Lonchura striata: one gene and its partners. The protein of the gene in region 1 purifies or fractionates together with the protein of each later gene. This does not show direct contact. Links are inferred from orthologs where the notes say so. Each region holds a gene or a part of one and is shown on either strand. Other genes may lie near its edges.

The links.
Region 2: the proteins of SLX4 (region 1) and TOPBP1 purify together in Homo sapiens (affinity purification with mass spectrometry; 3 studies listed by BioGRID, with this or other methods). This does not show direct contact. The link is inferred for Lonchura striata from reciprocal best matches to the Homo sapiens genes SLX4 and TOPBP1.
Region 3: the proteins of SLX4 (region 1) and SLX4IP purify together in Homo sapiens (affinity purification with mass spectrometry; 6 studies listed by BioGRID and IntAct, with this or other methods). This does not show direct contact. The link is inferred for Lonchura striata from reciprocal best matches to the Homo sapiens genes SLX4 and SLX4IP.
Region 4: the proteins of SLX4 (region 1) and PGAM5 purify together in Homo sapiens (affinity purification with mass spectrometry; 4 studies listed by BioGRID and IntAct, with this or other methods). This does not show direct contact. The link is inferred for Lonchura striata from reciprocal best matches to the Homo sapiens genes SLX4 and PGAM5.

Annotation. Positions count from the first base shown.
Region 1 is NC_134618.1:4,009,746-4,016,625, forward strand, and holds the start of SLX4 (structure-specific endonuclease subunit SLX4), read left to right. Parts: upstream 1-3,862; 5' UTR 3,863-3,911; coding exon 3,912-4,278; intron 4,279-5,100; coding exon 5,101-5,340; intron 5,341-6,092; coding exon 6,093-6,267; intron 6,268-6,880. UniProt on the Homo sapiens protein: Regulatory subunit that interacts with and increases the activity of different structure-specific endonucleases.
Region 2 is NC_134603.1:113,164,831-113,172,816, forward strand, and holds the start of TOPBP1 (DNA topoisomerase 2-binding protein 1), read left to right. Parts: upstream 1-4,971; 5' UTR 4,972-5,241; coding exon 5,242-5,322; intron 5,323-5,857; coding exon 5,858-5,992; intron 5,993-6,523; coding exon 6,524-6,667; intron 6,668-7,174; coding exon 7,175-7,356; intron 7,357-7,477; coding exon 7,478-7,671; intron 7,672-7,986. Other genes in the region: C-C chemokine receptor type 5-like, read left to right, coding at 1-711. UniProt on the Homo sapiens protein: Scaffold protein that acts as a key protein-protein adapter in DNA replication and DNA repair. Composed of multiple BRCT domains, which specifically recognize and bind phosphorylated proteins, bringing proteins together into functional combinations.
Region 3 is NC_134605.1:23,369,238-23,376,677, reverse strand, and holds the start of SLX4IP (protein SLX4IP), read left to right. Parts: upstream 1-4,432; 5' UTR 4,433-4,526; intron 4,527-4,642; exon of another isoform or gene 4,643-4,966; intron 4,967-5,769; 5' UTR 5,770-5,904; intron 5,905-7,440. Other genes in the region: molecular chaperone MKKS, read right to left, coding at 329-1,319; uncharacterized protein LOC144246044, read right to left, coding at 1,544-1,693; uncharacterized protein LOC144246043, read right to left, coding at 3,291-3,482.
Region 4 is NC_134620.1:8,397,277-8,404,823, forward strand, and holds the start of PGAM5 (serine/threonine-protein phosphatase PGAM5, mitochondrial), read left to right. Parts: upstream 1-4,527; 5' UTR 4,528-4,540; coding exon 4,541-4,797; intron 4,798-7,547. UniProt on the Homo sapiens protein: Mitochondrial serine/threonine phosphatase that dephosphorylates various substrates and thus plays a role in different biological processes including cellular senescence or mitophagy. Modulates cellular senescence by regulating mitochondrial dynamics.

The DNA of each region.
Region 1 (6,880 bases):
GGGTGCTGGCAGGGGGAGGTGTAGCCCTGAACAGAAATGTGAGGACTGATGGGACATCAGATATGGAAGTGGGTGGTGCCAGATGGACACTGATGCTGATCCCTGCTAAGATTGCTCCTTGGAATCTCAGTATGATTTTCCTACCTAGCATTCCCTTGTTTATAGAGATTTGAATTAATTTCTCATTTCCTATTTTCCTCATCTGGTTTTGTTACCCTTTTCTGGCACAGGGAAGCTGGCATAGACCAGGACAAGAGAGTCGTACCTACTTTGGATTTGTGTTTTGCACTTACATTTGTTCTCACAGAACAAGCCTTGTTGTCCTCAGTGTTAAATTTTTTGTGCTTTTGCAACCACAGAGACCCTGCACTGTACAGATGTAGTGTCATGTCTTTATAAAGTAGTGATAAAGGTGTTGGTTAGTGCAGAGATCAGGCTCTAATGAAGAATCCATAAAAGGCTGGAGGATAATGTGCTTTTTCAGAAGTCACACCATTGACATGTAGGTTCTTCTCCATCAGGAACCAGTAGGGAGATTTTTTGTTACAAGATTTGGTTTGGAGGAATCCCTAGAGACCTCCTTCCAGTGTAGCTGCCAGGAAAAACACTACAGAAGTTCTTCCCTTTCGCAGTATTTGGTCTGACTTGACTGGAAATTTTATCACTAACCCTCAGATCTTTGGCTGCAGCTTCCACAAAAGGAGGAGAAGGTGATGAAACTTCCAGTGCCAAGCCAAGTGGTGCATCCCATCATCCTGCTGCTGCCAGCACTCTGTAATTAGTAGCCCAGGGTCATCCAGGTCCTGGCAATTAGTTGATTCCTGAAGCCTGAGGTGAAGCTGGAGGGAGGGGTGGGGTACAAAGGTGGCTTCCTTTGCACTCACTCCAGCAGCTCCATGTCCTTCCTGTGCTGGGGACCCCAGATAATAATTCAGGTTTTGTTGTTGCCTTGCTTTCTAATGTTAATTAATCCCATTTCCCTTAGCATTTCCTGTGGAATACAAGAGATTGCTTCGAAGGTGTTTTCCTGGTTTTGGAAGTATAAAGTGAATTTTTCTTTCAAGATGAGGAATTGAGGAGGAGATGTCCTGAAGCACCACTGTGGTGCTCAGGAGGGGAGAAGGTATCTGCTGTGTGCAACTTGTGGAGGCCTGCTAGCACTGATGGGCTGTTGTAGCCACGGTGATGACATATTCTTGGAGGCTGAAATGGCAGGAGAATTGTTCCTGGAGCAGACAGAGTGTAAAGCAGCAAGTGAGCAGGCCCAAATGTTGTGTGTTTGAGAGCATGTAAGTCAGATAGCTGGTGGAAAAATGTTTTCAGGGGTTAAAAGAGAGGCTGCTCTGAAAAGTGGGAGAGCAACAGCTGTTTTAGCTGTTTGGGGTTTTTTAAGGGATTTATTATTTAACTAAGTAATTACAAGGCAGTAAATTGAAGGCACGTAGTAGGTACATACTTTTAAATCATAGAATTACGGGATAATCTGAGTTGGAAGGGACTTTAAAGATCATCCAGTTCCTGCTCTGGACAGGAGCACCTTCCACTATTCCACGTTGCTCCAAGCCCTGTCCAGCCTGGCCTGGAACACTTCTAGGGATGGGGTAACCTATGCCAGGGCCTCAGCACCCTCACAGGGAAGATTTTCTTCCCCATATTCCATATAATCCTACTCCCTGGCAGTGGGAAGCCATTGCCCCTTGTCCTGTCACTCCAGGCCCTTGTCCAAACTCCCTCTCCATCTTTTTTTGTAGGCTCCCATCAGGTACCTATTGAAAGGGTGCAAAGGATCATCGAGAGCAGTAATTTCAAAATACATTAAATCCATCCTTTTCCCTCCATTTTCTAGGTTCTGTCTTTCATTCTTACTGGTCCTGCTTTGTACCATTTTGCTGATCCATGTTTACTTGAAGGGCACAGCTGGGCTGTAGATTTGGCATCTCAGTGAGCAGGTAAGTGCTGCTGATTATTTTGTGATTTGTTGAGTCCTAAAATCTTCCAAAATTAATTGAACATTATAGTGAAAGAAATTACTTTCAAAACTGTTACTTTTTGAGCTCAATAAACTGGTGCCAAAGCTGGTTGTTAGGGGCAGCAGTAGCAGCAGCTTCAGAAATATTGAGATGTTGAACAGAGCAGGAATCTGTAAATGCAGGTCTGGAAAGGGAGGAGTAATACAGATAAAGTCTTAGTTTTGCATCATAGGTGTTTCTGATCTGATCTGCCTGGGACACTGAATATTGATAGCCAAATATGCTGCTCTGTTTCAAAGTTTAATATCAGGAACTCACCATAAATAATCTGGCAGTACAGATGTGTCTGAGGTATTTAAAGCGGTGTAGGATGTGAGATTTGGGACTTCTTGACATGCTGTCTCCTCCTTAGAAGAAAATGGTCAATTTACAGTTGTAACTACCCCAGAGTTCTGTCCAGAAGAAGTAAATTTATGAACCAGCTACATGAAACTTTTGTTTCCCTCTAACAGAAAATTACTCCAAGATTCACAGCAAAATCCTCTGCAGGTCTGGGAGCCTGAGTTTAAAATAAATAAATCCATTAGCGTCTGTAATTGCTTATAGAAAAGGCTGATCCATGGAAGTGTGTAACCAGCATTCCTCAGCCTCTCATGTCTGCAGCCAAGCCATTTGAGAAAACAGTCCCCCATGTGTTTTTCCTGCTTTTTGAGTCTTTCTCTGCCCAGAGCTTTACCGGAGTAACTGGACCACAGCTGCTGCCATTCCAAGTGAAACATTCTGGTTTAGGTTTGAAAGAAGTAGGTTTTGGGAGCAATAAAAACTCCTGGTAAAATAGCCAGAACCATCATGAACTCAGGACTACGAAGAAGGGGACAATGAAAACATGTGTAAGAATAGAGCTCTAGTCTTAATGTTGCCTGGGAGTTGATGGCATTTCCATCTGGACACTGTACCCAGTGCTGTTCCAGGTAATCCCTGTCTAATACATATGTGACAGCAGTTTGGGAAACAGAATCAGTGCTGTGGTTTATTGAGTACTCAGGGGAAGAATTGAGCAGGAGCAGGAGAGCTAATCCTGAGTGAGCAATAGTGGAAGTAAGAGGAGAGAAAAGGTGAACATATTTAATGGAATTGTTCTCTGACTTGTCCTAAAACCCCTTCTGAAGTACCAGAAACTCCATTTATTTACTTTTCCAAATGAGGCTGGGATCTCTTCTGTGAAACTGTAGTGTCTCAAAGCAGAGTTTAATACTCCAGAATCACTGCATGAGCTGAAGGATGGAGTTTTTTCCTGCTGCATTCACTGATTTTGTGCTATATAAATATAAGTAGGAATGTGTATAACAGAAGGACTGTCTGAATCCAGAGCTCTAAGAAAAAACCTAACCATATCAGATACGTGTTTTAATATCTCTCCTCTCCTTTGCTAATGTGGCTTGGGCATGTCTGTAGTACAATTATAGGGACACTGTTTGGGGTCAATATGTGCTGTTTCTAATCTTAGTATTTCATGCAAATCCTCTTCTCCTTCAGCAGTTTACACCTTGTCCCATAGTGCATCTGCCTGTACCATCTTGTGTGACTACCTGCCTTTGTTTCTTTGTTTAAGGGCTTTCATAAGTTTATTTCTGAAGCTCTGTAGCTTACCATGATGATCCTACGTGTGCTCTCACAAACTGAGGTGCCTAACCTGTGGTCCAGAGTCTTCTGAAGAACCAGCTTGTGAAAGCAGACGAGGTTCTTGGAGAGAAAGCATGCTCTACTGAATGTGAATTAAGCGTGGAAGAATGAACTACTGGAAGTGCCCACTCTGTCTGATGATCTTATTGGAGTCTGGAGAATGGACATCTCTGAGGTGCTGGAAGGGCTGATACAAATCTGAACTGATTCTGGTGCTTCCCCCTGCCCTCCAGTCCTCACAGTGTTACTGGAAAGCCAATGGATGAACAGGACAATGATTTTAAAGAGTTGTGGGCAAATATTTTGAGTAGGGCAAAGAAAAAGGCTGGGGATGCTGGGGCAACAAAGAGGGTTCAGAACAGGCCAAAGAGCACCACAACACAAAACAGATTAAGAAGAGGCAAAGCTGCTGCTAAGAGCCAAACCCATCATCACTTACCAGCAGTGAAGGAGACAAATTTACTTCAAAATTTGGGTCCAGAGGAGCAAGCATTGGTGCACGAAGAAGATGGTGATGCTGCAGCCTGTAGTGGTGAGACTGCAGAGGGGAATGGAGCAAGAAGCCCTCTCCCTGCCAGCCAGCCAAGCACAGGGACCACTGAGTGTAGCCAGAGGCCTCTGACAGGTAAGTGACCTGAAACAGTTCACACAGGAGATAGACAAGGACTGGAAGGACTCTGTATCTCAGTGAAGGTTTTGAGAAGTCCACCCAGAGGGGACACAGTAGCACTGTTGAAAGCAGGCTTATGCCTTACATGGGTTTAACCTGGGAGTGTGTTCTGTGCTGCAGGCAGATGTCCTTCAGTAAGGTGAAGCCTTGGTACAAAGTGATTTGCTGGCCAGTCATTATACACTGTTTTTTGCAGTGTCAGAACTGAGAAAAGTACTCTCAGATCATCTAGAAGCAAGCTCAGAGCATATTGTGGTGCTTTTTCACTCAATGCTTCAATGTATGGTGACATATTGTTTTCAATGTATGGTGACTGGATGTTTTCAAGGGCAAAAACATGAATGAGTTAAGAAGGGTGTTGGATTAATTAGTAAAGGATTAGTTCTTCATTAGCTGTTAAACATGATGGCCAGAATGCAGTCACCAATGATGGAAGTCCTTAAACTGATAAAATAGGTCAGTCAGGAATAGGACATTCTGTAGTGGGAATGCTGGGAGAGCAGGGCTGTGGGACTGCCTTCCATGTCCCTGCTGGAGACCTTCCTGCAAGGGCTTTCTTTATATTACTGCCTATAAAAGGGATACAGAAGTCTCTAAATGCCCCTGTAGCACAGAACCCCAGTGTTGTTACTGTGGCTACACAAATTGTTCCCTTCTCCAAGAATGGCTGTTGTAGAACTGAGCCTGGCCCAGGCTGCTCTCAGGGAGGGGCCTTCCAGCTGCTCTCAGTGTGTGTTTAAAACTGCCTGGTAAAACTGGTGTTTTCTTCCCCTCTAGTAAATCCAGAAAGCGGCTGTTCCCAGACTACCCTGCCCTTCCTTCCTGCTACTCCTCCAGGAACCTGCTCCTCACCCACCCCCAAGGTGCGGGTGGCAGAGCTGGTGGTGGAGAGAATGCAGCAGTTCAAGAGGGTGGCACCTGAACAGCTGAAACACAGCTCGGATGGGAGCATGCCAAAGGCTGCAGCCAGCAGGGATTTCCCTGCCAGGAGCCAGGAGCAGAACCCTCCTGAGGATGGTACGTGTCTCCTCTTGGCTCTGGTGTTTGCAGAATGAGTGGCTGGTGAGAATGGTTGCCTGAGGAGCAGTCCTGGATCCCAGGGCTTTGTTCCTGGCTAGCCTAGTGGCTTGCTGTGCAAATCACTCCAGATCCCTGAGAAAACTTCATTAAAGGATTATCCATACCTTTTTCCCAGCTCTTCTCTAAGGCTGAATTAATCTCATGTAAATTCTAGAGGAATAATTGTCTCTTTGGAAACAGACTGAAATTCTAACAGGACCGGTGAACTTGGTCATCCTTCCCTTGGGACAGTGTTAAGCAGCTCTTAGGTAGCCCCATCTTTGGTACCTCTCCAGGCACTATCTAAGGTGATACGTTCTGTGTTGATAAACTGAAATCACAGCAAATTTACTCTGGTTGATTCTTTATAGATCAAGTCCCTGTTGGTTCTGTATGGGCATGAAAGTCTGCTGTGTTGTACATTTGATGTATAAAATTCCATAATTTCCCCAGAAACTTCAGCCAAAACTGTCCCTTCATTGTGTCTGACATGTGATGTGCTGTGAGCAAATTGTCACCTCTTGCTCCTGTTGGAAAAGAGCAGGTTGTACCTTTCCTGGTGGAGATCAGGTGTGTAGATGCAAGAGGAAGATTGCAATGAATTTTTGTGTGTCTAATTTAAAAAGCTAATAATGACTAGTGTACCAGTTTCTCACCTTCCACACAGGATTTAGTTTTCCATTTTACATCATCCCTGCCTTCTTTGCCAGATACCCACCATCCCCCATCCGTGGAACACGACAGTGCTCTGGCTTTGGCTCTTCAGCAGGAATCCAAGGAGGAAGCCCTGGCAAGCCTGGAGGATGCAGGCTTGTTCTTCTGTCAGATCTGCCAGAAGGATCTCACAGCCATGAACACCCTGCGGCGAGAGCAGCATGTCAACAGGTCAAACACCAGCAGGACCTATCCTTTCCATCCAGCCCCACAGACTCCTCACTCAGCCCAGCCATGGAAGAACAGGAGCAGGGATTCTGCAAAGGGGTCTTTGCCTTTGTGGCTTGAATTAGCGAGTCAGTTTGGTGTGAAAGCAGAGGCTGATTGCCTTGCCCTGCAGGATTTCTGCATTGGTGTGGCCAGGCCAAATCTGCTTTCATTAGCAGGTTGGCAGAGAAGCTGCCATTGTAAAGGAACTTGGTGGTCTTAAAGCTCTTTTCCAACCTTAATGATTTCCTTAGTGATGACTCCCTAATGCCAGTTTTGAGATCTACTGATTTCAGCCAACAAAGTTGTTTGCTCTGTTTTGCTAAAATTCATCTAAGGACATCTGGTATGTCACTGTATCTGAGCTGTTTGCTGAGGGAAATGTGATGTTACTCAGAGAGATGACTCATTTGAAATTACTGCCCTTCATTGAACAATTTCCTAAGTGATAAAAATCAAACACAATTTATTATGGACAGACAACTCTCTGGAAATCGAATCTGTGCTTTTCTGTTGACAAAGGATCAGAAACAACACATTTGAATGATTGTAAATTCTTAGTTCAAGCACTTCCAGA
Region 2 (7,986 bases), on another chromosome or scaffold:
ATCTTTTTCATAATCCTGCTGACCCTGGACAGGTACCTGGCCATAGTGCATGCGGTGTTTGCTTTGAAAGCCAGGACAGTCACCTATGGTGTCCTCACCAGTGTTGTCACTTGGGCTCTTGCTGTTCTTATTTCTGTTCCTGGGGTAGTATTTCACAAAACTCAGAAGGAAAGTTCAGGCTATTCTTGCAGTGCTCATTATCCATCAGAGCAGAGAAATACATGGAAGCAATTCCTCACCTTAAATATGAACATCCTGGGACTACTTATTCCAATGTTAATCATGATCTGCAGCTACACACAAATTATAAAGACGTTGCTGCAATGTAGGAATGAGAAGAAACATAAAGCAGTCAGGCTTATTTTCATCATCATGATTATCTACTTTTTTTTCTGGGCACCATACAACATTTGCATTCTCTTGCGTGATTTTCAAGGTGCATTTTCCATCTCTACTTGTGAAGGAAATGGTCAACTGCATAAAGCGATACAAGTGACAGAAACAATCTCAATGATCCATTGTTGTATCAACCCTGTAATTTATGCCTTCGCTGGAGAAAAATTTAGGAAATATCTTCGCAGCTTTTTCCGAAAGCAGATTGCAGCCCACTTGTCTAAATGCTGTCCTGTTCTCTATGCTGACACAGCTGAACGAGCAAGTTCCACCTACACCCAATCTACTGGAGAACAAGAAGTTTCTGCTGCATTATAAGTTGTGTAAAGTAAAAAAATTGGATTGACTCTTGTGAGATCAACTCTTTGATGAAAGCCTGCTGAATCTCTTTTGGATATTGTCTCTAAGGCAGCTGAAAAAAAAAATCACAGAACACATACTTACCAAAATTTGCATTTACTCACAGACTTGGGTATTTTAAAATACATGAAAAGAAGGTAGAAAATTACCTGACTGGGGTCCTGAGCTAGCAGGCTAACAGATTTTTTGAAGTGAACTAGAGGTTTTAAAGTTACACTGGTTACTTAGAAACATCTCTTGACTTTGTACATTACACAAGATACCTCACTCATTTAAACTTAGTCTCAGACATATTTTTTACTGGTCTGGTTGTGTATCTCTATAAATAATGCTAAGTTACTAAGGTCCATCATACAGCATGAAATGGAAAATTTTATATACTTAGAATGGACTCTGATATTTTATGGTATATTTTCTTTTGTGTATGGTTGAGTCCTAACCACTTAGATCTTTCTCACAATAGTTCTAAATGCTAGGGGCTAATACCTAGTGATTTTTGAGTTTGATACATCTGAAGAGTCTCTTTTACTCATCTGCTTTTTTATATGCTTCTCATGCTAAAAATATAATATTACTGAGCTATCATTTAAAAACTAATGTCCTATAGCTGATCAGAAAATAAGTGTGGTAACAGTATTTTAAAAATAAAGTATTTCACATGGAGCTTTAACCAGGTTGGATCAAATGTGAAGAATGACTCAAGACTGTTTTAGTTCTTTAGTGCAGTGATTTTGCTTGCCTTTTTTGTAATCTGCACAAGAGAAAGACTTTAAAAAAAAAAATGAATGCAGGCATAATGGCTATCAAACCACAGCAGTGGTGAAACAGATGTGAAAATTATTTCTGAACTGGATTGACACAGATATTTTTAGAGACAAGTGTATGTTATAAACATTTAAGTTAACAAAACATCTGAATAAGTAAAAATACTCCCTGTTCTACAGAGTCAAGGGCACAGACCATTTATCTTTTGTTTTAGAAACTGGTATCATTTGGGGGGCTATGACAATGGGGGGTTTTTTTGCCATTTAGGAGTCTTACAGAGAGCAAAATTCCATAATTAGTAAGACTGGTGGTTAAATACGACTGATTCTCCATAAAGCTCAGAACCTGTAAAACATCAGAACACATAGAAAACACGAAATAAATACTGGGCTACTCAGGTGCTTAAGAATGTACCACAAGCAGAGTATTAATTAATTTGGACCAATTTTTACTTCTAACAGTTATTATACTTCCCCTAAGACATATGGTATTGGACAGCTTTGGAGACAGCAAATTAAAAGTGACTATTTTGTTTGCTGTTACTATCCAAAAGGGGAATTTCTGTTTCCCAGCTTCTCTAGACAGCCTTTTAAATAATATTTTCAAAGAAGCAAATGTTTCAAGAAGTCTCAAAGAAATTTTACAGTGGAAAGTGCTTGTGAAAGCAGGAAGTACAATAGGGAAATCTTTACTTATCAAACCACTTGTTCTGTGTTATTTATTTTGTCATATTAAGCACCTCTTTGGAACTACATCCACATGGAAAGTGTAACAGAAGAATACCACTCCTCATTTTCAGCTGCATACTCTTCTTTAAGGCTCTGTGCATCAATTACTTTCTGGACGTTGTACATGCTTTTAAAATGTGTAAATATATCAGTGTAATGACAAATACACACCTTCTAGTCAGGCTTTTTTGTTTTTTTTTTTACTTACAGAATACATTTATAGAAAAATTTTATATTTTATTCTGCTCTTGATAAGAACTTTCGCTTGGTCTTGAAAACACTTTGCAGTTAGGAAACTACTTTCTCTGGAGGGCTTTGATGCCAGACACAGTAATGCCTCTTTGTCAACCTTTCAGGAGCAAAGCACAACAACCAAACGTGCATGGGCACACTGATAAGCTTTCTGAGAGGCATGTAAAAACTGCCCTGATTCTCCTACAACATGGACTTCTAATAATGGATTTTTCTAAGCAACAAGCAGCTTCTGGAGGAAAGAGGTGGAACTGAGGTTGATGGCCCAGTGGTTTGGCAGCTTATCAAGAGTTTCCACCACTTCACTGGAAAGGGATCACACTTCAGCACATGAAAACAAGTCATATTTCAGTGACAGCAATGAACCGTGATCCACATTCAAGCAGAAAATTGAAAACTCAGTATTTGGTTGCACTGCTGATACATTCAGTTAAGGACTCTGCCAATAACTGTAACAATAGTTTGTATTATACGATCCATTAAAGTTGGTTAACATTTTGTTAGACTTCTTGATCTTTTCCCACCTCCATCCCCTTATTTTTTACAACAGCCCAGAAGAATGAAAAAGGAAAATAAATTCCTCTTCGTAACACTGAAAGAACAGGCAGGACAAAATTGGGGTTTTACAAGTGGACCAAGAACCAGCATAATCAAATAACACAGCATCATCAAGATAAATCCACTTATAATTTAATAATAAATACGCTATTTTGGTTGTCATGACATTTGATTTTGTTTACATTTACCAATGGGAAAAGCAGTATCTCAGGCCATTCATACTGATCCTAGATGATTTATATTAGTGGTTTTAAAAATAAATAAGCGTATAAAGGAATTCCAGTGTATTTAGTGACCTAAGTATTAGGTCATCTAGATAAAATCTAACAATTGCAGCGGACTTGTGCACAGTTCTTCAGTTCTTAAGATCACAGTGCCACCCTGTGGTCTCACTGTAGAGTTTGATGCCAGCAAACATGCACTACTCCAGGCAGGCTTTTGGTGCTTTTCTCGTTCAAAACATATTCTAGGATGAATTTCTTCACACAAAGGGTGATTAGGCATTGGAATGGGCTTTCCAATGGGTGGTGTCACTGTCTTTGGAGGTGTTTAAGGAGAGACTGTATGTAGCTCTTGGTGTGGTACCACATCTGCCATCTGGTTGACAGGATGGTGTTGGGTCATGGAATGGACGCGATGATCTCAGAGGTCTTTTCTAACCTAATTAATAGTGTGATCTCTTTCCCTAAGAAAATCTCCTAATGGAATGACTCCCCCACTAGAGGCATTATCAGTATTACGCAAACAGCAGCAAGGCACTGTGGTCACTAAGAGTGGAATGAAGATCCATCGGATGTGTAGGCAGGGTCCCCCTGTCATCATGTAGGCAGATGCCAAGAATGTGGTTCCGGATTCCAGACCTTGCTCTGGAAGGAGAGCATTTGATGTTCTTGCCCACAGCTTGGACGCTACAACCTACAAGAATGAAAGTGAAGTGCAAGGTCCTACACCTGGGTCAGGGCAATGCCAGACACAGCTCCAGGTTGTGTGTAGAAGCGATGGAATGCAGCCCTGTGGAGAACAACCTGGGGGTGATGGTTGATGAAAAATGCAACTCACGCCACTCTTCTCCGGCCACAATTACCATTTCCCAACTATTTTTTGGTTTTCTCTCTTCTTAAATATATTACTATAGATACGTTATCGCCATTTCTAATTGGCCCAATCCACCTTTGGATCGTCCAGGGCTTGGCTCTGCTGGACATGGAGGAAGCTTCCAGAGGCTGCTCAAAGCAGCCACCCCGGCTACCCTGGTTTTTAACCAGGCTGTGCAAACCCAATGCAGAGCATCTGAAGGGGGCCTGCAGGGAAGCCAGAGGGGGACTCACAGTCAGGAACTGCCCTGATAGGAATAAGGAGTAATGTATATATAGGGCAAAAATTGAATAATATGGGGCACAAATTGAAAGAAGGGACAGACATTTAGGTCAGATATCAGGAAGAATTTTTTTCCTGTGACAGTGGTGAGGAGCGGGTTGCCCAAGAAGGTTGTAGATGCCCCATCCCTGGTAGTGGTCAATGCCAGGATAGGGTATAGCGTATTCAGCGGGGGCCATGCAGGGGAGGCTGGGGCCAGACGCCCGCTCAGCACCCTCCCAAGGCGTTATCCCTCGGTGATTCCCTAAGTTCCGCTCCCGTCTCCCCCAGCGGCCCCGCGCGCCCTCAGCGAGCCGCCCGCCCCGCCCGCTCCCCACGCGCGCGCCCAGCGCCCCCTGCGGGCGGAGCGCGGGCACGCCCCGCCCACATCCGCCCAGGCCCCGCCCCCTCTGCCCGCCCCGGCAGCGCTAGCGAATCAAAAACCCCGGCCCCGCCCCGCGCCTGCGCAGTGCCGGCAGCGCCGCTTTCCCGCGCGGGTGAGGGGCCGGGCCGGGTCCGTCGGGGCTGGGAGCGCCGCGCACCGGGAGCGCCGCGCACCCGCTGCCCGGCAGGGACCCGTCCGTGCGGGCCTTGGCCCTGTGGGGAACGGGCCTCCCGGTGGGGAACGGGCTTCCCGGTGGGGAGGGGGCTTCTCGGTTGGGGTCGGCCAGTCCCCGCCCCTCCGTGCGCGTTTGAAGCCGGTGCCGCCGAGGCCGGGCGGCGTGTGCTGGGCCCCTGGCCCGGCGCGGACAGCGCCAGGGGCGAGAGGGCTTCCGGGCTGCGGCGGGAATGTCAGCGCGCTCACTGGGTTTTGCTTCGTAGTTGAAGGATGAGAAGTAGTAAGGACCCGTTTTTTGTGAAGTTCATAAAGTCTGCCGGGAGCTCGGAGTATTTTTCTAAAGCTCTTGAGGTAAGTGGGTTTGGTGACCTGGGTGAACTTGGTGAACTGGAGTGTGATTTCTGTGTCGGAGTTCGGCTGTATATGCCATACAATAAACTAACTTACGTCTGTACTCCTGGAAATAAATCTCTTTCTATAGCAGGGGTGTTAGTGTGTAGTAAAGCTTGTTGAACAAGAACAGTTTTGTTGGAGAGCCTCATGAAGTAGCTTCAGTTTCAAAACCTGGTGACATATAGGGAAGGGACATGTAAGGCCTGGATGGTGGTCGCTCATCTGAGCACTCTGCATTGTTTTACACCTTAGGAGGTTAGTGGGAGCCAAAGGCACCATATGGCAGGATCAGGTCCTGAAGGCTTCTTTGCGAAATATTTAAGTTAGAATATTGTGAAGAGGTGTTTTAGCCCTTCTGCCAATACCTGTTTGCATAGTAGCTTTGTTGTGAGCTGTTGCAAGGACGTGCACTTGTGTAGTTTGCACAGGATTGCTTCTTTATTAATTATTTGCTAATTAAATAAATGTTGTTGTACACATCATTTACCTGCAGGCTATAAAAGAATTCCAGTCAGAAGAACATCTCCAGATCCTTGAAGAAGAAACAGTACTCAATATAAAAGAAAATGATAAGTCACTTTACATTTGTGATCCTTTCAGTGGCATGGGTTTCAGTCATCTCAAAAAGGTATGGCATCCAGCAACTTACTTTGAGCTCTGTTCTTTCCTTTTTAGAAGCACTCATGTCCATATTTATATCCTGCATGTTCTCTTCTGCACTGCGTGTAGCAGTGTATGATTATTATTTATTATTAATCATTATGCAAAGCATAATGATTATTTTTAAACATTTGGAAAAGTAAATGGCATGTTCTCTGCTGGAGTCCCTGAGCTCCTGATAAAGTTGATTTGGTTTCATCTGCAAGGTATTGTCTAATGGACACAGGCTAGCTGGAGTCCTTTGGCCTTAGCCATAGCATCAGCTGTTTTTACTGAGTCAGAAAATCTACAAGGATTGTACAGAAAAACCAGAACTGAAAGTAAAACCAGAACTGAAAGTAAAACCAGAACTGTCAGCTACCTGGAGGTTGTAGAGAAGAAGGCGGAGGACAGACCAAGAGCCCTGCCTTCTTCAGAATTCAGGGACAAGAAAAGCCTTCCTGATGCAAATGAACACCCTGCTTATTTTCTTTGTGCTTTCCCTGTTATTTTATTGCAGCTTGGCTGTAGGATTGTTGGACCACAGGTAGTTCTGTACTGCATGCAGTCGCAGCGCTGTGTCCCAAGAGCTGAGTATCCCGTGTACAACATGACCATGGCTGATGTCACAGTGTCCTGTACCAGCCTGGAGAAGGACGTGAGGGTAAGGCCTTCCCAAGGATGGATTGTTTAGCTGGTTATCATTGATACTTGCTTTGCATTGTTCATTAGTAAGGCAGCAGTCAGAGCATATATGTCTCATTGTGCCTGTGTCTAGATCCATCAAGTCTTCTGTACCTTGTGGACTATGTGTGGTCTATTAATGTATTAATACACCTCAAATATGATTATATATGTTTACTTTATATTTATTCTGATATTTTTTTCTAGTACTTCCTGAAATGGTAACCATCTGCAAAGTTTTGCTCATAGACCACAATTGTCATGTTTTTATTTAGGGTATATATTTAGGGTATATATTATGTTCATCATAAGTGCAAATAAAATGGAAATTACAGTTTCCTTTTTATGGCTTCCATATATATCTAGTTGGTATTTTTAGGGGAAATCGTGGACAATTGAAATCCATGTTTTTGGTGCAAAGTGAACATGACTGCCACATAGGTTCTTTTTTCTCCTGTCTGTTTTCTCTGTTTTTTTCCCCATCCAGGAAGAAGTTCATAAATATGTGCAAATGATGGGTGGATGTGTATACAGAGATCTCAACATGTCAGTAACTCATCTTATAGCTGGAGAAGTTGGCAGCAAGAAATACTTGGTAGCTGCTTCCCTGAAGAAACCTATTTTGCTTCCCTCTTGGGTTAAGACATTGTGGGATAAATCTCAGCAAGGGTATGAAAAAAACAAAACTGATTTTGTTTTGGATAATGGTAATTCTTATGTACAGACTAATTTCTTTTTCATAGTTGATTTTACTTGCAAAATGACTGTTTTCTCTCATTCATTCCTGTAGCATGGTGAGGTACACTGATGTTAACGTGGAAGACTACGTCTGTCCTGTGTTCCTTGGCTGCACAATTTGTGTCACTGGCTTAAGCAGCTCCGACAGGAAAGAAGTGCAGCGCCTCACTACTGAGCATGGTGGGCAGTACACGGGCCAGCTGAAGATGAATGAATGCACTCACCTCATAGTTCAAGAGCCAAAAGGTAAAACTGACAGAATTAATGCTGTTTTCACGTCTGGAGTTGAAGTAGTGTGAAGGTGTGTAAGCACAGGAGCTTGAACTGCCTCTGTGTCTGCTTCAGTGTTGCTCTTACTGCTTCTCTGTTGATGGAAAGAGTAACACAGGGCACCTTTGTTTTGGTGTAAAGTCATGAGAAAGAACAAAAGAGGAAAAAAAGCCAGATAGATAGATGGCATTCAAAGAAAGGAAAAGGGAGAATCCTAGAGGGGATAAAGAAAATAATTTTTTTGGGGAGAGCAGGATAGGACTTAATTTGTACTGTGATTGAAATTGGATT
Region 3 (7,440 bases), on another chromosome or scaffold:
CCAACACATTTTAACTGCAAGACTTTGTGGCAAATTGAAATTAAAAAAATAATTTTTTCATTTGTCTTGAATCAGTTTGAAAATAAACGAATTGGATATCCCTCATGCAGCAAGCAGTAATAACACCTGTGGTATGCCACCATCAAGGCCTTTACAGAAGACCTATTCATCTTGAAAAGTTATTTTTAGACTAGAAAAGAGCAACTCTTGCTCAGTGGCTAAGGCAGAAGGAAAGAAGAGACCTCCCTCTGCAATGACACCACCCCAGGTGACGCTCTCCTAATGACAACTCCAGGACAATGGTTTAGGCAGAAAACTAGCCTGTTACCTGTCACACGCCTCAGGGGCTCCATCAGAGACAGCCCTGCCCTGTCCACAGCCACGACACCATTCTCTTTCAGGTACTGCTTCAAGGAGGGATGCATCACCTTCTGGCACAGCACAAGGCCCACCTCATCCTTAACCAGCTGCTGCCCCACATTGAGCAGCTGATTCAGCTCTGACGCTTCCAGAGAAACTCCGTGATGGACTGCTATAGTTCCTTCCTCAGGGTTAGAGCTGTCACCTGACATGGACACACTGAAAAGTGCAATCTTGATCACGTTTGAACCAGTCCTTTTGACAGCAAGTGGTTTTCCCAATTGGATTTCTGGCGTTTCTATCAGCAGTCCAGGAAGAACTGCAGAATCCACAACTCTTCTACCTTTCACAGGTATTACCACACACTTGCCTAAAACTGCATTAGTCTCAACATGACACGGAACAGTAAATATAAAAGCCTTTAAAACCAGCGAGGTGAGATGATCAACTTCAGTTTTATTAAGCATGCAAGCAGGTTTGCTTGTTAAAATGCTCCGTACCAAACAAACAAGAGTCTCAAGACTGCTAAAATCCACAGACACCCGGCAACCACAGGCCTCAGATTTCAGGTGGTTCATGCACAGACTCAGAAGATGCTTGCTTATTTGAATGACAGTAAAAGGTGCAACATTCAGGCTCCTGAAATTTTCAATGAAGCCACAGCAAAGAATGGCAGTGAATAAGCCACAGTCACTGAAACGTGACATGTGGTTCAATACAGAGGCTGTCAGGACACGCAGCACGGGCTGGCTGATGGAAAGGTGCCCCAGGAGGGCTGAGGATTGGGAAGTGGCACAAACACAGCCCCCCGCACCATTGTGGAGCTGTTTGAGTCGACCAGCAGGACCGTAGGAAGATTTTAATACCCCACTCAGCAGAGACAGTGACTGACTCACTGCATCTCTAGTTAACGGCTTGCTAGTAAATAACGGAGGCTTTTTAGCTTCAAGGCGAGACATTTTGAAGGTAAGACTTTAATTCTAGCCAAAAAAACATTTCATTTTTGCTTGGATCCATAATTCATTGTACTTTCATATTTTAAGAGTAGTACATTTTAATTCTTTGCAGGTAAGGATTATTTTCGGTGTGAAACAGTATATATAACATTCCTGAAACTACTCATCACAGCTCTCTTAAAACGAGGCTTAAATCATGCAAAATGGATAAACAGCAGGGCGCTATTTCATTCCAGACGATTTTTTCTAGCTTCTGAATGAGACTGGGCAGACTTTTTCGCAACATAGTTTACAAGTATGCTTCCTATATGGACACCTATAAGTGACAGTCCTGCCACAAGCAGAAAGTTCTTTCTACTCCAGGTAGTTTTCTTCATCTTTTCTGGCAACAGTCACAGATGAAAACCTTCAAGCTTAGTTATACCTACAATAAAAACCAGAAAGATATTAGAATAATCTTATGAAAATATTGTATAACTTGACCTATTTTAGTTTTCACCAAAAAAAGTCACAGAAGGACAAATACTGCACCAAAAACCATTTAGGTTGGAAAAGACCTTTGAAGTCGAGTCCTGCTGTTACCCCAGCACTGCCAAGCCACCTTTGAACCATGTCCCCACATGCCACATCTATGCATCCATTAGGTGACTCAGCCACCTCCCTGGGCAGCCTGAACCAGTGTTTGACAACCCTTCCTGTGAAGACAGTTTTCCTAATACCCAATCTAAACCTCCCCTGGTGCAACCTGAGGCTGTTTCCTCTTGTCCTAAGCACTTGCTACTCGGAAGAAGAGACCAACCCCCACCTTCCAGGTGGTTGTAGAAAACACCACATTGCCCTGACCCTTCTTTTCCTCAGGCTGAAGACCCCCAGCTCCCTCAGCACTCCTCACAGGACCACTGCCCTCTCGGGACTCATTCACACCTCAGTGTCCTCTCTGAAGGCTGGAGTCCCTCAGCAGTGCCAAGCACAGGGGACAATCACTGCCAGCACACGCTGGCTCATGTTCAGCTGCTGTCACCACAGCATTCCCAGGAACCTCTCCAGCCACTCTTGCCTGTAACTCGGCATGGGGCTGTGACCCCAGCGCAGGACACAGCATTGTCCTGGGCTGGGGTCAGGGCTTTGTTGAACCTCCACTGGCCTATGCACTCTCATTTTTAACTGAGAAAATCTACTAATATGATTTTACTACAAACACAGAGAGCGCACCAATTATACCTGTCTATTAATAACTTCAATTCTGACCTCTGGTCTGTACTGTTATCAGCAGGTCTGTAAGTAGCAGGCTACCATCAACTTCATTGAATTGCACTGAAGTACCAAAACTACAGTGATAGTCACCTGATTTTACTCAAGAACAAAAGAACTCAACTAGTCAGCAGTACTTGCCAGGCAACAGAAACAACAGCTTTTGATGTTCAAACAAGGTTTCTTATTTCAAGAGGCCCGCAAAGAAAGTTTTTCAGTTCTTATAACAGTAAAACTTAAATCAACGCTTATTTACATTTCTATGCAAACTCTACAGTATTTACACTCGTACTTCCTTTTGTTTCATTCTCTGTTGTAATCACTATCCCTACTCAGTCATAATATGTTACTTTGTACAGTCAGAATTATTTCTGGGCAGTTTTAAACCTGAAAGGACACTGTTATAAATCCAGTCACATGAGTTTCATTGCCGTCCTGAAGTTACTGGAGCTTGTTTTAAAATATCTTTAAGACACATAATACCCTCACTTAACTGAGCTCATCGTGTGGGATTTAGCAGTAGTTTTTGAAATTTATGATGCACTTTTTGGGTCCATGTAGGTACAAAAAATTAACTCAGTTGCAAAGTAGAATAAAGCTCTGAAAGACTAAAGTTAGAATACCAAGGCTGTATGTTTAAAAATTCTCAATTAATTCATCCTCTGCCTCATAAACACAGACACAACTAATTAGGCAACTTACCCAAAAATCAAAGTACTAATGCTATTTTTCTTTGCTTTTGCGAATGCTTTGCATCATGAATGTCAGAATGTCACGTTCTGGAGAAAAATCCTCTGTCTTCACTTCGAAAATAGGACTGGACTTCAAGTAATACCAGCCCCAGTGCACTAGCCCCAGGCTAGCTCCCATAACAATCAGAACTTTGTTGTCCTTCCAGAAGGTTTTAAGACTCATTGCAAACTGGCATCTACCTAGGTAAAGATAATTTATTATTTTAAACATATTCTAGAAATATTTTTTCCTTACTCTGTAATAACAACAATGAATACATGAAGCTGAATGTTAATACCTTTAATTGCAGTGCAGCAGATGACTAAAACACTAAACAAAAAGCCTTACTTTGTGAACAAAAACGCACCTCAATTCAGACATTTTGAAATGTTAATTGCTGCATTGTCTTCGAGCTTTGGCATGCTAAATCTTAAACACAACAAAGCTTTATCTAATTATCTAATTACAAGCACTAGTGCCCAGATGGTAAGCATCTGAAGCCCAAAAGCAGGTTCAAAATACACCTTCCTCCCCATAGTTAATAAAATTCAATGAGTAGCTGAGCTCCCAAGGTAATACAGAACTTTGAAATTGCAGGCAAAGCAAGGTGTGCAGCTCCTGAAACCACTTTACCTTTGTTCAGCTTTGCCTGACCACCTTATAGTATTCAGAAGCGGCACCATTACAAAGGGAGCAATTAACTAATCCTCGTATAATAAGAAGGTGGAAAAAAAAACCCAACATACTTTCCATGGGATTTCGCACGTATACTCATGTTTTATACCAAAATACCTCACTGGTTTGAGCGGCCACAAAGCTGTAACTCGGAGAGGAGATGCTCCCACCCCCGCCCAACCCCATGACCCTGACAGGTGTAACCCGGCCGACCACCCACCCCTCCCGCACCCCGGAGCCCTCCCAGCCCCCTGCTCCTCCTTCCCCGCGGCACAGCGACCTTGAAGCGCGGGCGGCTGAAGGCACAGCGGCGCGAAGAAGGTGCCACCGAGGAGGCGAGCACTCACCCGCCCACCCCCACACGTTCAAACACGCCCCGGCAGGAAGCAGAAGCACGCAAGAAGCACGGCCCCGGACATGCCGCGCCGCCCCTCGCCGCCCGCCATTAGCCGAGCGCAGCGTCACTCGCGACCCGGCCCGCCTCAGCCGCTGGCGGCCATTTTGCGTGCGGGCACGCGGGGCGGGCGGCGGCGCCGGGCGCGGCCATTTTGGGTAGGGCAGAGGAGCGGCGGGAGGCGGGCGCGGCGGGGGGAGGGTATGGCCGCCTTGTGCCGCCCGGCGCTTGCGGCCGCGCCTGGGCTCCGGCCCCGCCTGGGCTCCGGCCCCGCTGTTCTCTTCGGGTGAACCTCTGAGGGGATGCTCGCAGGGCCAGGGCTCTGGCGGCGGTGCCGCTCGGCTCCCACCGAGCCTCCCTCAGCCGCTCTTTCCCGTTCCTCAGCCCCGCCCAGCCTGGCCGGGCATAAAAACGTGTATATATCTGATTTTTCTTCTTTGCATGCCCGCTACTGTGGCCACTCCGCCTTACACCTGCGTCCAGCTGTCTGAGGCTTCCTGTGGGCGGGCGAAAGTGCCCCGGCCAAAACAAGTTCAAATAACTTTGTTCCCTAACCTCCGGTTTCCGTTAGCTCTTTTGCTTTCCTGTATTCACTCCTGTAAGTACAATAAATACTCCTGTGAATACAGTTATACTTCTGTGTTCACTCTTCTCTCTACTTCTGTAGTCACTGTCTAGAATATCTCATTTTATATTCATTTGTTAATGAATGGGTTTGTTTTCAATTTCGTTTATAGTTGCAGAGTTTATGACTGTAGCCAAAAGACAAGTATTTAATGCCTCATCCCCATGCAGAAATGAATATAATTTCTAAAATAGTATAGTAATTTTTCCTTGCAAATTGCAATCAGCTGTTCCACAAAAGTTTAAAAATATAATAGTACCTGTTTGTGGCCCTGTGATACTCCTAAGAACCTCTCCTCCCTCTAGTTCTAGGCAGTTCTGTGATGACTGGGTCACGTTTTGGAAACTGAATTGTTGAGCCTTAAAGGTGAATTGGCAGTTTATGAATGAAGGAGTGTAAATAACAATGAGGAGAAAAGGTGCTGACTGGGATGGAAGAGTATTTTTCAAGGATTAAGTGGAGTAATTGGCAGCAGTGGGCATAGAAATCCTGAATGGCAGATAGGAAGATCGTGGTGTATAGAAATACTGAATGGCAGATGGGAAGATCGTGGTGTATCTTTCCGGAACTGGGGATGCTTTACTGGCTGTGTGAGTAGCTGAGCATTGCACTGCTCATCCCAAGCTTAGGATCTGCTCCCAGAAACTGACAAGTGCTGGACGGGAAAGTTCAGAAAAGTCTTTTATGTTGTGATAGTTAATTTTGTGTACAAAAATACTTAATATCAATTTACCCTACAGAGTTCTTTAATTAGTGTTTGTTTCTGCCGCTTTCAGGTGCCCCCTCTCCCCACTCGGAGATGGGCAGTGGGTGAAGCTTGCTGCTGTACATCCAAGTGTGTGCCAGGAGTTTTCAGTTCCTCCTCCCTCTGAGCTCTGCATTTCCTCACCACAGGAAGCTGCTTTGCCAAGGTAAGATCCTTTTCATCAGCTGGCAGAGGACACTTGAGCTTGCTCTCTGGATGACCATGTGCTCTGGCTTCTCCTGAGTACCCACCGCTCCATTTGACTCAAATTTAGGGGAGAAAGTTATTCTGCCATGTTATTTTTAATGTGCATCTCACTCTAGCTACAGGCAATCTATGTGTTTGATTCTAAATCATGTCTTCATGCACAGGTAGTATCAAAATTTTATGTCTTGGAATACTACACATCCTGTATCAGGACTTTTTTAGTATAAATATATATATAGTCTTGCGAGGAGCTTTTCTGCCATATTTGCTTATCTTCATGTGTCCTTGTGTGGTGTTTACTTTAGAGGTTTGCAACAGAAAAAGGATTCCATGAGACAGAATCTTGCTGTCAAACAGCAGCAGTTGTAACAGATCTGTGGTTTTGGTGTTTGGTGTTTTATTAAACACAGGAAGTGGCAAAGCATTTTGGGACTAGTTGTTTTTGGTTTGTTTTTTCTTTCCTTGAAAAATCGGTGAGTGGTTTTCCTTATCTTCTGATGTCTTAGTATTGAGTATTTTTTCACCTGGGCCACTTCAGTGATTACCCTGATGGTTCACAAATAAAATATTTTCCTTTTTTATTCTGTGGATTTTCTTACATTTTGTCTGTCTGCTGTATTTCCTTTGTCTTATCTGTGTGGTCAGTGCAAAGAATTGGGGTAGTTGGCAAACTCCCAAAGTTGGCTTACACCCAGGAAGAGCAAACTGAACCAAAGCTAACTTCTCTTGTGTGTCCTTTTCCTTTTTATGTTTTTCTTCTGTTATTTTGTAAATTGGGTTTGGAGGGGATTTTTGCATGCCAGCAGTTTTCACGTGAGTAGTAGCAGACGTGTTGCAACAGTATTATTCTGGAAATTAAACTGGTAGCAGAAGAAAGCAGTGATGTCAGGGTAAGTTCAGCAGAGCTTTCTACATGACTGAACTGAACTAGGATGTCTCAAGTGGTCCAGAGCTCTGTCCTTTGCATTGTGTTTCTCAAAATTGCTATCAGTAAAGTTGTCAGGATTTAATGAGATAAAATGGAGACATTTCCAGGGCTGTTTGGTGCAAGGGAGAATGATAGCGAGATGGCACAAGGCATGATGGCATTCCAGCTTCTGTGTGCAGGACTGTTAAGAATTTTAAGATTAAAATCATCGTGCTACACTGTGTAGTTTTAAAGGCTGTTTGTTTATCTTGTTTTGCACTTTTTTGAGTTAAATAATGATAACAATTGCATTGTGAAACGTGGAAGCATAGTGTGTGACAGAAACAAGTATCCCCAGCCTGACTGGTGTCCCGAAACATCGACAGCTCTATCGCAGTACTTACCTGTGACTTGAAATACAAAATGAGAAATATATACACATTCCTCAATTTTTAATATTTGCACTCAGGATCCCAAATGAAGTGATTTAGGTCCTGTTTTGGATAAGCAAGGGAGGAGGATGTCCAAAGTTCACTTTACTTTTGTGCAACCACCATAAGATTTGGGTTATGGTGCTTTATGTGTATA
Region 4 (7,547 bases), on another chromosome or scaffold:
AAGGAGTAGGGAAAAGGATCCAGTCCCAGCAAACAAGAGCAGTTCCTTATAGGTGTATTTCAGATACTTCAGTTTACCAGTGATGCCCACTGTTACTAAAAAAAATTCTTTCAATCTACTTCAGTTAGAAAGATGGTGACTGTGAGAGCAAAATTAAGAAATAGATTAATCATTCATGATATAAAGACTTTGTATGCTTTAGATAAGGCGAAGCCTGCTTTTGAATATGCTTCTAGAGAGTGTGCCTGGGGAGGAGGAGGAGTCTTTCATCTTAAATGCGCTTCTCTTTTTTTTTTCTGGTCAAAGGAAATCTGAAAAATCCTCTAGTAGATGATTCACACCATCTAGATTAAATTCAAGATCTGAATCACTGCTATAATATATATATATGTAGAGTTTCTTTCATGCCACAATCTCCCAAAATGTTGTGCTGTATTTAACCAACACAGTATTTGTCCTGGTTACCCTTCAGTGATGCAGTCAGACACAGTCAGGAAGCCAGGGTCTGCTTCAAAATCTTATTTTTTTTTTTTTTTTAACTAATCAAATCATATTAACCAAAGTTGCTTAAAACTAGTATTCTCTCTTGCTTCATAAAAAAAAAATAATATTAAATGGGCTTAAGTAGCATCATTTTATAACCCAAATGTTTAATGTATCATTTAAATGTTGCAGGATCTGAAGCAGGCCAGGATGACATCAATATTTCCTTTAAGAAGGCCAGCAGTAAGTCCACAGTGTATGTCTGAACACATGTGGTTCAAATGATATAGTGTTAGCTTTTTTCCTCTCTCTCTCTGTTCTTTCGAGAATAAATTTACACTTTTTTGTTTTGTTTTTGTTTAATAGTGGGAAGGTGATACATGGTGAGTAAAAATTTTTGAGGTCATGGAAGAGGCTTTTCAAAACCACATTTTCCTTGTTTCAAATGTCCTTTTATTACTCTGTTTTGCTTAAAAAAAAAAAAAAAAAAAAAAAAAAAAAAAAGCCTGAAAGTTCATAAACTTTGCTTGCCAGTTGTAGGCTAGAGACCTGCCCTTGCTCTCCCTGTAGCTAACGCTAAAACATCCAAACACTGACTCATCCCTGTGCTGATCCAAGTCCCATACAGAGATGAGCTGTTTGTCTTCCTGGTGAAGTTAACCCCGAGGGCTGCTGTGGGTCTGCTTTAGCCACAGGGATTTTCTGCCTGCCAGGGGAAACCATTTGTTGGGCCCAACCTGTGCTGAACTTTCTGAAACCTTTTGCTGGTTTTCTGACTTCTCTTCTCTTTGTTCTGGTCACAGCACAGTTCAGAGGCTGCCCTAACCTTGGGCATCCTCCTTGAAGGTATCTGTGCATCAAACCACAGAAATGGGATAAGCCCCTGGGAATCATCCCTGAAGATTGGACCTATGGCATCAGTAGAAAAAGCATTTACTGTTTTCACTAACAGAATAATTCCATTAGTGGGCATCAGTAGGTTGTTATCCTCTTAGATGGATTTTCTGCTTACAAATGAAATACAACACAATAAAACTGGATTAAAAGAGCAGCAATATAAATACATATAAAAAGAACAAAGAGCAAGAAGCTGGGTAGATATTGTTGAACACAGGACTGTATATTCAAGCTAGTGGTAATCTTCAACAAATTATTTTTGAGATTTTTTTTTTTACCTAATTGAATTGCAAGTTTTAAAAAGTGGTAAATATAATCTAATTAATAACATTTTTGGACATACTGAGGAAAATCTAAGGTAATCTCAAAAGACTTTTGAACATCAATTGCCTAAGTGTATTAGTGCCTAACCCAAGCAAAAATAAACTGCAGAATGGAGCACAGGCACAGGAGATTCCTGATGGTGAAGTGTTAATGCAGACTAATGACAGCCAAAATGCAGCATTGAGGCAAACAATATTATCAATTTTCATTTTCTAGCATAATGAGATTGCCCAGATGTTCAGCAATACTTTTTTGTGCTGGGGAAACAATTTTGACTGTTGCTTAATAACAGTCTGAAATTTTTCTGGTGGTGAGAGAGAGAGCTCAGCCCTGGTGCATTTGGTGACACTGTCATGCACTCCAGAAACTTGCCTGTGTTTATTACTGGGATTCTGACCTCAAATGGCAGGTACTTGTGTGAGCAATGCACTTCGAATAGCACTGAAATTTCAAATGGAACCATATGATTTTAGAATTCAGTTCAAGCTACTGAGAGATTCACCAGAAATAGTTTTATTTGTCCAATCCAGCTTCAACCTGTCCCTGTCCCCAAGTGAGTGATGGTGTCTGGTGCAGTTTTTTCCTTCATTTGTGAGATGCTGGAGGTCAAATGGGATTCAGTTAGAGGGCAGGCAGGAGAGGAAGAGGTAGGACACAAGTGGGAGCATTTAATGGAGAATAAGTATTACGAGGGATAAAAGAGAACAGGCATTATGAGAGAAAAGATTTTGAAAGCATTTGCAGGACTTTGGGAGACTGAGACCTGGGGAAAAGGGACCATGCTACTTTAGGAGGAATTGGATGTGAGGTTTTGAAACAGAACTTTTTTCCTCTGGACTCTTGGTAAGAAAGAACATACACAATATAAATACCCACACCTGCCTATATAATAAGATAAACTGAAGAAAAAAATTAACATTTTAAAGCTATATAAGAAGAAACAGAAAGCCGAGTATCTTAAATACAGAGAATGAGCAGGCAAGAAGGATAAAGGAGGGTGTGTAGCAGATTTTCATCAGGGTCTGATTTACTTATGTGACCCCTGGGAGCCACTGTCGGCCTGTGAAATGTCCCAGAGGCAAAGGACCTGTGCTCCAGTCAGATGTGCCTCCTCTGCATCATCTGTGTGTGAGACAGAGACACGGAGTGGTGGGCAGGGGAAAGACACTCGGCTGGGAAAGCTGGAAGGTTGCTTCACTTTAACAGAAAGACCATTTTCTTTGGGCAGGCACAGCGTCCTTGTACCCCTGCTGTGAGTGCTGCAGGAGCCTGAGCCTGTTAACTCAGCAGGGGACAGGCTCTGGTCTCAGTGGCTCCGGGTCACTCACACTGGTTGAAATCCGGCAGCTGGAAACTGTCTGCCCAGCTGGCATGCCAGTGGAATAGCAGGAATAGTATTACAGAATTTGTGGAATATGGGTGTGGAGTTAGAGCTTGAACAGGTGGACAGATGTTGTAAGAATGCATAATTAAATTAACAAAAGCTGGATAGTGGAATCTGTAGAATCTTCTGGCATCCCAAGGTCCACATTCAGCAGCAGTTCTATCACCATTTGCAAACTACTGAATCTGACAGGTAGAGACCAGTGCTGAATTTGGGATGTCAGCTCAGAAAAAGAGGGCTCTTTTCTGAGTCTCTCTCCATGAGGCCTCTGTTGTGAGCTTAAGACAGCACCATCGGCCATCTACAGGTAATTAACATTCCAGTGTGAGGTAATTAACATTTCAGTTCCACCGTGTCTTTCTTGTGCACAAGGCAATGTGTGGAGCTGTAATGAGCTCTGGCTTCTGGAGGGAGCCTCTGTGTGAAGAGCGAGTAGCGTTCAGGCCAGAGGCACAAGAGGTGGGATGGGAATGCCCAGGTGGGTGCTGCCAGCTCAGCTCTGCTGAATCCACCTGGTTTGTAAATTGGTAACCACTTTTATTAACCAAAACTCAGGTTCCTGGTTTCCAGTGCCATAGACCCAGTGATGCCTGTAAGAAATCTATTCCAGTATGACAGAATCACAGAATGATTGGGCTTGGAAGGGACCTCTGGAGATCATCTGGTCCAACTCCCCAGCCAAAGCAGGGTCACCAAGAACAGGTGACACAGAAGGCATTCAGGTGGGTTTGCGATGTCCCCACAGAAGGAGACCCCACAACCTCCCTGGGCAGCTGTCCCAGTGCTCTGCCACCCTCAACATAAAGCTCTTCCTCATGTTGAGGTGAAACTTCTTGTGTTCCAGTTTAAGGCCATTGATCCTTATCCCATCACTGGGCACTAGTGAGAAAGAGTTTTCTCTTCAGACTAAACAGGCCCAGCTCCCATATCTGCCCTCTTAAGAGACGCTGCAGGCCCCTCATCATCCTTGTGGCCTCTGCTGGACCCTCTCCAGTGACTCCTGGTCTGTTGTGCTGAGGAGCAGCTGGACAAGTGATAAGGCTCGGGGCTTGTAATTAAATGTGGCGGACTCGGCAGTGCCGGGTTAGTGGCTGGACTCAACGTGCGGGTCTTTTTCGCCCTGAAGGACTGACCGCCGCCTCAGGCGATTAAAGCAGGCAGGGCTGGCGGGGAATCCCTGCCCAGCCCCACCCGGTGACCGGCCTGGGGTGGGAACCGGTTTGGGAGCGGCCAGGCAGGACCAGAGGCGGGCGCGGCACCGCGGCCGGGGGAGAGGGGCCGGGACGGGCCTGTGAAGGTCTCTGAGGGTCCGTGAGGGCCGGGGGGTCGGGCCGGGGGTCCCCGCAGCCCCGCGCTCCCCGTTCGGGAGGAAGCTTGCCCCGCGCCGCGCTCCGTCCGGGGCGGGGCGCGGCGGGGCGGGCTCGCCGCTGAGGGGCCCGCGGCCGCCCCGCCATGTCGGCCCGCCGCGCCCTGGCGCTCGCCGCCTGCGGGCTGGCGGGCGGCTCCGTCCTGCTCTCCGCCGTCGTCGTGGGCAAGCAGCCGGCCCGAGGGGGTGGCGACAGCGAGCCGCGCCCGGGGGGCTCCGCCGCGCCCTCCGCCGCGCCGCCCGGCTTGCTGCTGCTGCCGCCCACCGCCTCCTGCCCGCCGGCCGCCGGCTGGATCGAGAGAGCCGCCGGCAGCGGCAGCTACTGGGACAGCAACTGGGACAGGTGAGCGCGGGGGCCGGGGCCGCCTCCCCCGGGCAGGCCGCGGCTGTGCTGAGGGCCGGGGGCGATCCGGGCGGCGGCGGGACCTGCCCTGCTGAATCCCTCTGCGGAGCCCCTCGGGGGTCGGGAGCAGTCCCGGCTCGGCGGGACTCGTTTCCCGGTGAAATTCCGTGTGCTGCTCAGAGCAGAACGCAGCTGAAGTTCGCGAACACCCGTGGAGCGCCGGAGCGCTGTGGAGGGATGTGCCAGCGCTGGGATTTGTTCACTTAACCCTGTGCAGGTGCCTTTATTCTGCTGCTTTCCGCCAGCCACACTGCCAGCCTCAGGCTTGTGATAGATGCGAGCACCGTTTGGGTTTTCCCCGGCCGTGCCAGGTGTTTTTGTGTCTGCAGCGGGTGTCGGCTCGGCAGCAGTCCCGGGTGGGTGCCGGGCGCTCTGTGGGCAGCGCGGGGCCTGTGCTCGGGAAGCTCCTGCGCTCAAATCCTGGTACAGCCAGTGGCGTTTGAACCCAGCTCACTCGCGTTCTTCAGCGCTGAAACGCGTTCACACAGGGGTTGACTACATTTTCTCTGAATATTTAATTAGAATGTGCAGATATCCGCATGGAGCTTTGGCTCATTTAGCTTCGGTCTGGTAGAATTATCTCCCAGGGGAGACTTATGTCAGGCTCCAGTTTAATCATAGTAAATCCAAACCTAAGCACTAACAGATTTTATTGTATAATGCATTATTTTGATTTTTGAGAGGCTGCAGGATCAAATGCTCATGTAAATAGGGCTATGCACACCCCAGTGATAAAAATAATGCCTTCATTAAATAAAGTTACAACTGGTTACACAATTTTACTGAGGGAGGTACTAAAGCTGCTTGTTTAACTGCAGCTTCCTGATTCTGCTAAATAGTTGATCTTCTTCAAGGATTCTACGGTACTTTTAGACTCAAGTAATTTTTTTTAAACCAATCCAGGAAGTAGAGATTGTGCTTTAGGTTACAGAGCTGTCACCACTGCCTGAGCAAAAACAGCCAGATAATACTTCCTAGCAGTTCAGGATAGCAAATCACCATTCCTCACAGTGTGCAGACAGTGGCAGTGGAATATATTACCCCAAATCAATTTGTTTTCTGCTGCTTGCGGTCTACCAGTTGTGGCTTAGGTTGTGCCTGCTTGAAATCTTAATCTTGACTTTTGGATGTTATTGGCAGAAGCAGTTAATGTGCGAAGTTGTTAAATGGCTTATAAATACACAGAATATCTGACCACTTCTCTATGGGGGCAGGGAATGTTTAGAAAGTCAAGCCTTGAGCAGATAACTAGATACTAGAATATTCTTAACAACCAGTGGCTTTTCATGTTTGAAACAAACAAATGCAAATATCAAACTTCTTATTGGTCTGACAGGGTGTCACAGTTGGAATGTTGGTCTCTGCCACTTGCACAGGAATTGTGCAACTCAGTTCTCAGAGAGGACAGATCTAGTTTCATTCATGTGGAATATATAATGACAGACATCAGACGAGTTATTCCCCTTGCTGCTTTACTAATGTGCTTGAATTGATTTTAAAGATTTTTTTTGTTTTCCTATTGTATCTTGCCAGCAGAATAATTTCCAGTGAATCAAAAATATCCTGTGAAGGAGCAATAGAACTTATTGTTTCTGGCTTGTTGTTTCATTTTTAATGCCTTGCTGAGGAATTAACAGCTTGAGGAATGTGTAGATCCTCATTGTCTAATGGAAATCATGTGTTCAGTAAAGCAAAATGGAGGCAGGAAGGCTTTGCACAGCCAATCTTGCTGTGAGAAATAGATGTGAGAAGCAGCAATTTTCTGTGAACAAATTATTTTGTCCCAAACGGAATAAAAATTATTATCTATTAAAAAAAATCTATCATCAAATAAACAAGTTTAATACTGGAACAAGTGAGGTGCGGCATAAATAAAACACGCTCTGAGGTGGACTGACAGAAAATGATTTGTATAATGGGGTGGAGGATCAGTGCAGAGAGGGGCCCAGATTAACGTGGGGAAGGTTTGGGCAGGGTCGGTGCTGGAGGTGGGAGGTCTGTAGCACCAAACCTGTGATAGCAGAGAGAGGGGGAGATCCCCCTGTCCTCAGCAGGAACCAGGTCAGCTGTCTGGGTGATGTGCAGAGCAGGGTGCTCATGTGCACTGTGACAAGTGGAAGAGAGATTAAAGTGGCATGAGGGGAGAGAGTGCTGAAAAGATGAAAGGATAAATAAAACACTCCAGAGTGAAGAATAAAAAGTTTTACTGGAGAGAACTGATGTGACCTAGTTTAAAGCAGAAAATAATCCTCAATGTGCACTGCAAAAGGTTGGAGTCTTTCTAGGATGTTGTTGGGGGGTGATTTTTTAGTCATTTGATGTAAATGTGATTGATAAAGTGCAGATTTTGTAGGTGTTATTACAGGGCCTTTTAGATATGAAGCATTTTCTTTCTCTAATGATCAGTCAGCACCTTTTCCTTTTTTCCTGGGTGTCCTTCCTGGTTAGTTTTTCTTGTCAAAAACCATACTGTTGTACGCTGCAAGTTTTTCTGTTGCTCATTGCTTTTTTTTTTTTTTTCCAATAATTAATTCAGGTAGCTGGCACTAAGTGGCAAATTTACTTATGTCAAGTTACACCTTTTAACCCATGACATGATATTTTTTTTTCATGCAGGCATTTATTTTTACTTTTCACACAAAAGTTTGAATCAGCTTCATGTACAAATGGCTAAACTGCCAGTTCTAGTT